Xenopus tropicalis: one gene and its partner. The protein of the gene in region 2 purifies or fractionates together with the protein of the main gene of each other region. This does not show direct contact. Links are inferred from orthologs where the notes say so. Each region holds a gene or a part of one and is shown on either strand. Other genes may lie near its edges.

Region 1 (3,500 bases), on a different chromosome or scaffold from region 2:
ATTGGTGTTTTCTTTAGAAACACTAGTATAGTGATAAACGGTTATATAGCTTAAAAAAAGTAACCTCTGTTGAGAACACATAACCACATCTCTACATCTGCAATAAGCTGCATAAGCTATTTGGCTCCAATCCACTTCCTCACCTTGTTCCATTATTAAGCTAGTGCCACATGTAGCTATTTCTCTGGCTGCATTTTAGTAAATCTGCTCCCATCCATGCAACTCCCTGTATGTGTCGGCTTTATGCACAAAAATGAGAGATTATGCATTTTTCCACTCCATGTGTTTGCACATAGGCCAATGCATTGCCTGTCAGGGCAGATACAAGTGTAAATGCATAAGTGTAGATCAGCTGAAAATCAGGTGGAGAAATAACCACGTTGCATTAGCTTAACAATGGACCTCAGGTCTCAGAATCCATTACATTTGTTTTCCTTAAAATTTTTGCACAACCCACAATGGAAGGCAAGTCTGAGAATCCATCACTTTACAGTGGAGCAAGGAGAGGCTTACATTACACTGTGAGCCTAAAGCTGGCCATACACGCACCGATACTATCGTACGAAACCTCGTTTCATACGATATTCGGTGCGTGTATGGCATGTCGGCGAGTCGACCGATATCGCAGGAAGCTGCTGATATCGGACGACTCGCCGATCGGCCAGGTTAGAAAATTGGCATGTTGGCGAGGCGCCATAGAAGGCGCCTGACCAAAGTCTGCCGTCAGGGCTGAATCGGCAGAAGGAGGTAGAAATCCTATTGTTTCTACCTTTTTATCTGCTGTTTCAGCCCTGACTGTGTGTGGCGGATCTGACAATGTTTCGTGCGACCATCGGTCAGATCGCCACGTGTATGGCCAGCTTAAGAGGAAGTTTAGAAAAGTTATGTGTAACATTGCTTCCTTTTAAACAGGCACATTTGATTTTCATAGTAGATAGTAGGAATGCAATGAATCTATTATTTTGGGATCTAGCCAAAACCCAAATCCTTTGTGAAAGATTCAGCTGAATACCAAATACCAAAACCAAATCCGAATCTTAATTAAACATTTCAATTTCTGTATTCATGTGACAAAAAATCATGTGATTTTAAGGATTCGGCGAGGCACATGCATTAGGCTGCTGAAAAAGGCAGAATCCTGAAGTGAAACCTGTTTTCGGTGCCTTACCTGTCAGATTGAGGACTGCATCTGCATATTGACCCGTCCCTTTATCCGACTATCTGCATAAAGGCCATTTGACCAAGCAATATTATCCTGATATTGCCCACCTCAAGGTGGCCATTTTGGTAAAAGATTCATCTGTTTAGTGATCCTCATGCATATGGGCAACATTGAGATAGCTGTAATGAATGATATTTGCCCTGTCTAATGGACAGTTGTTGAATAATGAGCTGTGCTATAGCTGGCCATACACAGTAATATTTTGGCAACAGGATACTGCTTCATACAGGACTGCTGGGAATCACTGTAAAGTTTATTTGTAGCAAAACATTGTTTACCTGGGTCAGCTTTTTGGGGGTTTTTTGGCCTTCTAAAGTATGTTTATTTCTGGTTGGATACTTTGAAGCATTTTACACATGTGGTTTCTGAAATTCCATAATGTTTGTAAAACAATGCATATTTGGTACTGACATGTTTGGCAATGGAGCCTATATACTGTGGTGCTGTGCTGCAGAAGTACATGAAAAAGGGGAAAAAAAAGTAAAAACATCCATTTTAGATTAAAGGTGGCCATACACGGGCAGGTTTAAGTTGCCGGTTCGAGTCCTTCAGACAAATCCAGCAGCTTGTCTACCTTAGGTGGACATATCGGGAGAAAGATCTGCTCGTTTGGCGACCTTGCCAAACGAGTAAATCTTAATATGTGTGGCCACCTTAAGTGTTGCATGTCAACCTTTAAATGATATGTAAACCCCTAAATAAAATTGTCTAATGAAAGAAAAAGTAATTTTATTTGTAAATGTGATTGCAATTGAAAGTGGTATTTTTTATCCCTTTGTGCTGCTAGTTTTGTATCTTAAAATAATGTAGCAGAAATCAGCCTTGTATTCTTCTTCACAGGTTTGTAAATTAGCTGGCTTCTGTTACATTGTTTCTAAAGTATAGAAATGGACAGACAGCTTTTGCTTTCAAAAGCAATTATATTTACAAATAACTTTGAAGACATTGATCATTTTATGTATAATTAAAAGCTGCTTAGAATTACATTCTTTCATTGAAAGCGTTCCAGTTCTGTATTTTGAACTCATTTTTCACATAGCCTAAGAATCCTTTCTAAACTTTACAATATTGTATCATGCAGTTCTTGCCCTAAGTTAGGTCCACTTCAGTTGTATTGAATTACAAATATTTCTAATCATTATTTATCGCAAAACTTGTCACTTTGCTCCCTGTAGTTCTATGCCTGTTGAAAGATTTTTTTTTTCTTCTATATATCGAGACTTTATCAGTAAACCAAAAGTGGGAACAGGCACATTATCATGTTGGATCAAACATGAGAGCTCCTTGCACTGGCATTGTATGTAGCAGTCCCGAAATCGTTTCTGTTGGGGAGGACGGCCGAATAAACTGTTTCCGTGCTGAGAGCAGAGATGTTGTGAGAACAATAGGTAGGTTTTTTTTTCCCTTGCACATATATAGGAGTTTTTTTTTTAACCTGTTTTTAGTGAAACAATATTTAGGAAGTTGATAGAAATAAGAAAAAGCATGTCAGAAGGGATAGACAGTTTTTAGATATATATTATAAACAGTCTGTATTATATACTTTAGATAGCAGAAAGACCTGTACATCTGTAGTGGATAAACCTTTAATAATTTGTTTTTTCTGATGAAGTAAGTATGAACTTCTTGCAGAAGATGTGGATGCTTGGATTTCGCCAACGCATTTTATACTGTTTTGCATAAATTATTGCTTTGGGTCTGCTTTCTATGCAGGCCAATAAATTCCATCCAGGAAGTATGCTCTTGGAAAGGGCTCTGGACAATCTGGGTGGCTTAGTGGCAGATGAAATTATGCTTTTGGAATTTAAAAATATACAATATACATAAATATTCAAATAATGAGAAATAGGCTGTAGGTGCAGAAACTGCTGCAGGTGCACTTTTATTGGCACAAGTGTGTTGTAGATAATAACTTGGTTGTAGCAAGCAATGCCAGTCAGCAGGTTGGAAGGGCCAACCATAGATATCAAACGGTAACAGCCCAACCTCCACTTGAATAATGTCATAGAATAAGGAACGATACAGATTGAACCATGGTCATACATTTGCAGATAACCTTAAGAATTTTTTAATAAACATTATGGTTACAACAGCAGCACATATTTAGTGGCTCTACTAAATATACTTGTGGGTGATGCTGTAGCCAAACCCCAGACTATTTATAACTTCTTAATTCAGATCCTGGTATATACAGTAGCAGTATCTCCATTGTACATATTTCTTTCATTTTATTTAATTTAATTGTTATTGATAGCTTGGCTGAGTGTACGAACCCCTG
Region 2 (3,958 bases):
CTCCCTTTATCAACTGCTGGACCCGCCCCTTGATTTTTGGCTCCAAACTTAAGCACACCTCCTCCCAGACTGCACTGGGACATCCAGCCAATCGAGTTCTCTGATCCCCTACACATGAATGCTACAGGTACTGCTTTTGCCAACTCCTGGTCTGGGATCTCTTACCCCCTGCCCCTGATGCTCCACCCCCACAAAGTCTGCACACCTTGCGCGCAGCACTTCCCCCCCTTCACAATGTCCACGTGCATTCATTCACAGATGGGGTTGCAGCGGGGGTGAGGTGGTCGGCCAGGTTGCCTAAAGGTGGCAATACAATTATGCAATTATGCTATTTCCTGCGACCACTTTCATTCAAAGCTGAATTGTCAGATATGGAGGTATCCAATCTACCGATTCAGCCTTTAACGTAGATTTTGCAGCCTTTGGGTTATTAGTTTATAAGGTTATTAGTCTCATCAATCGCCAGCTTAAAGCTTGGCCTGCCTCTAAGTCTTCTACTAAATCAGCCCTTAGTTTGCACAAAACCACCAGAACCCTCAAAGTACAAAAAAACCCCTAAAAACATGACCTCATTTCACTTGGCCCTAGTTTTCACAATAACTCTTCCCTTTTTGGTCAGACTGGGAGAAAAGGTTCTGACGGCAGCCGGTACCGTTAGCAACCAGGAAACTCTTTTTTAGCTCCCTGGCAATGACAAGGATCTCTGAGCAGAAAAGATAATTGACTTGGAGGAAATATTGAGATTCGAGGTGGAGGAGAGCAATCACCTCCTAAGAAGAGTCTTTTTTTTCCCTTTTTGTTCTCCAACAAAAGTAGGAAGTGCGAGCAGAACAAATCCAAGCTACTTATTAGCAGCTACCAATTGTGTAACGCCGCCTTACTGGGTAGCGCACTGTCTCTGCTCGTCACTCCCATAAGGCGGCTACGTGATGCGTCACGACGCTTGCGTGTAGTTGTACGTCACAGTCTCGCGTGAGGAGACATGTGGAGTCGGGATTTTCTGTAAGACAGGAGGCTAGGAGCTTGCAATTAACAGCTTTACGGGAGGAGTAAGTAGCAAAGGTGTAAGTAGCAATCTGCGGCTGCTGGCTGTGTTACGAAAATCGGGATCGACAAGCGGGACTGTTGGGTAGTATTCAGTTAGGGGTTAGTCAGGGTCCCTGCTGTCAGTACGCTGCACACTTTGAATGGGAGGGCGGGAGCTTACGGTACCTACATGTTCTCTCTCTGCAGCTTTCGGTACTTCTGGCTTATTCACAGAAGTTTTAGTCCCGTTCTATTGAGTAGACTGAAGGACTGTTCTCCCTCTAGCCTGTATGTATCGGTCTGCTAGACTTTTCTGTTACATGTTTGCAACCTTGTGTGCATCATAGCGGGACTTTCTCACAGAATACACATCGAACATAGGAAGGACTGACCCCGTGTTGTGCTCTCTTGCAGCAGGACCAGCATGGATATGCTTTCGCCGGTAGTGCGGGAGGCAGAGGTTTCTAGAGCAGCTCGCCGCCAAAGCTCCAACAGGAGGAATCCTGGTATCCTTTTGTAATGTGAACTATCATCACAAATCACTGGTGTCCCCAATAATATCAAACGGGAAGGCTTTTGATCAAACAAAAATGACATTGGAAGTTAACAGAAATTTTTGGTTGTCATTTATCTATTACTATAATTTCTTTGTGATTAGTGTTTATGTTTTGCATGTCATTTTTTTCTAAAATCAATGGAAGGGCCCCTCCTTTATTGAGTCCCCTTTGTTTTAAATGGTTAAGGCTTCATTTTTAAATCTGTGTTGATTAAATGTGATAGTATATTTAAGTTTGCAGTGTCTGAGTATTACTCTAATTAAGGAAATAACCCATCGTAGGAGTAGGTTGGGTGGGTTTTTATTAATATTAACAGGCTGTTTATGGACCACAGATGTTTGATAGCAGTACCTGCACCAAAAACACAGTAATAGGCCTTTTATTGTCTTTGATGGGTTAATTTAATAAATGCGTCTTGTCTTGTAATCCATAGGAGCCAATCAGCATGTAGCACTTACTGCTATGGGTTAATATGTGTGACCAAACTTAAGCCTTTATTACATTATCCTACATGTCTCTAAAGCAAATAACATGGTTAACCCTGTCTCTTAGGCATTCCCCGTCATGACTCCCTGACTTTTTGCCTTACATGAATGCAACAGAACCAGTATTGCACTTTTTTGTTCTTTTTTTGTTCTGAGGCTATGCATGGGCAATGCAATTACAGTGTAATAAGAAACGCAAACAACAATAATGATTAGTTACTTTAAGCTGGAAAGTCGGCTAATATTTTCCCGGTGCTTGCTTGTTTCCCTGGTACTGTTTAGAGAGGAAATATTGAACTGATTCCAGAAAAAGCTTTTGTTGCCACACTTAACGTCTTGCCTAGCTGATGAGAGCTGGAGCAATGCAACACCAGCAAGAGGCCCATTATCTCGCACAACAGGACAAACACTATTTCGACAGCACAGTAAGATGTTTATATATAAACTGGGTCTGCAGTTGATAATCATGGGCTTGTTTGATTCATCTTGTAGAAACTGTCCCACTGACTTGTGTTTTACAAATATCAGCATTCAGTCATGGTTATTATAAAATTCAGATGAGTTTGTATAGTAACCTGCTTGTGTAGACATTTTGGTTAAGGGCATTCTTGCTGTTTTGCCATTTCTTGATGATGATATTCCTATTCCTGTCTTGTGCTTCCTGTTAAGCTGAGAGCAGGCCAAATCTACCTGCCATGTTCTAATAAATATACCAAAAGTTCCAGTGTGTATCTGACTACTTTACCTGAACTAACACAGCCGCAGTATTAACCCACTGCTAGCCAGCAGTTTATTACAGTGGGGGCGAGGATGAGATTTATAATGCTGAGAGAGGGTCTCTCGAACTACAGCTCTGACAAAATCCTTAAGCCATATCTTGAAAAGAGAGATGAGCTTTCCATAGATCAAGGTTGTTTACTGTGGGGGATACGGGTTGTCATTCCCCCTAAAATATCGTCAGAGGCTCTTGCATGAACTTCACGAAGGCCATCCAGGTGTAAACAGGATGAAAGCACAAGCTTGTGGTTACCTGTGGTGGCCAGGCCTGGATCAAGATATAGAATTTTTTGTAAGTCAGTGTACTGCTTGTGCTTCTGTAACACGAGCTCGTGCTTTCATCCTGTTTACACCTGGATGGCCTTCGTGAAGTTCATGCAAGAGCCTCTGACGATATTTTGGGGGAATGACAACCCGTATCCCCCACAGTAAACAACCCTTATCTATGGAAAGCTCATCTCTCTTTTCAAAATATGGCTTAAGGATTTTGTCAGAGCTGCAGTTTATTACAGTTTGGATATAAGAAAAAAGTAATACTGAACATAGTATTTATGCTGTGAAAGTCTTTTTTTTTTTTTTTTGCTTTCTGGTATGTAAATGTACTTTTCACCTTTACCTAGTGACGCCACAAACCTGGAATTCTTCAAGGCCACCAGATGTTTCGGCAATACTGGGCACTGTAGGGCGATCACCTCGCTTGGTACAGACTCCTGGGCGTTTGGCAAACATGTCTATGGTAAGACAATCCATTCTACAGAAGGCATTAAGGCGGCACAACACAGGCAGATTTCAGCTGCCGATTCAGGTCCTTAAGGCCTTAGGGGCAGCTTATCTGCCCGTGTATGGGAACCCCCGACAAGCCTAGCCAACTGACATCTGGCCTAAAATTGTGCAGATTCCGACAGGTTTGATTTTTCCATTGGATGAACAAGCCGATGCGGTCCTCGGTCCGACGGCACTGTCTAATTGGCCCAATATTGCCCACCTAAGGTGGGTAATTGGAAGAAGATCCGCTCTTTTGGTGACCTTGCCAAACCAGTGAATCTTACAGTGTATGGCCACCTTTAGTCTTCAGTTTCTCTTTCATGTGATTTATCCTATACGTATTTTGTG

What was found. Proteins that work in one complex are often made in the same cells at the same time.
Region 1: the proteins of nup107 (region 2) and nup43 purify together in Homo sapiens (affinity purification with mass spectrometry; 8 studies listed by BioGRID and IntAct, counting the BioPlex papers as one, with this or other methods). This does not show direct contact. The link is inferred for Xenopus tropicalis from reciprocal best matches to the Homo sapiens genes NUP107 and NUP43.

Annotation. Positions count from the first base shown.
Region 1 is NC_030681.2:58,282,635-58,286,134, reverse strand, and holds part of nup43 (nucleoporin Nup43), read left to right. Parts: intron 1-2,441; coding exon 2,442-2,610; intron 2,611-3,500. UniProt on the Homo sapiens protein: Component of the Nup107-160 subcomplex of the nuclear pore complex (NPC). The Nup107-160 subcomplex is required for the assembly of a functional NPC.
Region 2 is NC_030679.2:58,822,675-58,826,632, forward strand, and holds the start of nup107 (nuclear pore complex protein Nup107), read left to right. Parts: upstream 1-1,158; 5' UTR 1,159-1,216; coding exon 1,217-1,314; intron 1,315-1,440; coding exon 1,441-1,532; intron 1,533-2,412; coding exon 2,413-2,493; intron 2,494-3,465; coding exon 3,466-3,581; intron 3,582-3,958. UniProt on the Homo sapiens protein: Plays a role in the nuclear pore complex (NPC) assembly and/or maintenance. Required for the assembly of peripheral proteins into the NPC. May anchor NUP62 to the NPC. Involved in nephrogenesis.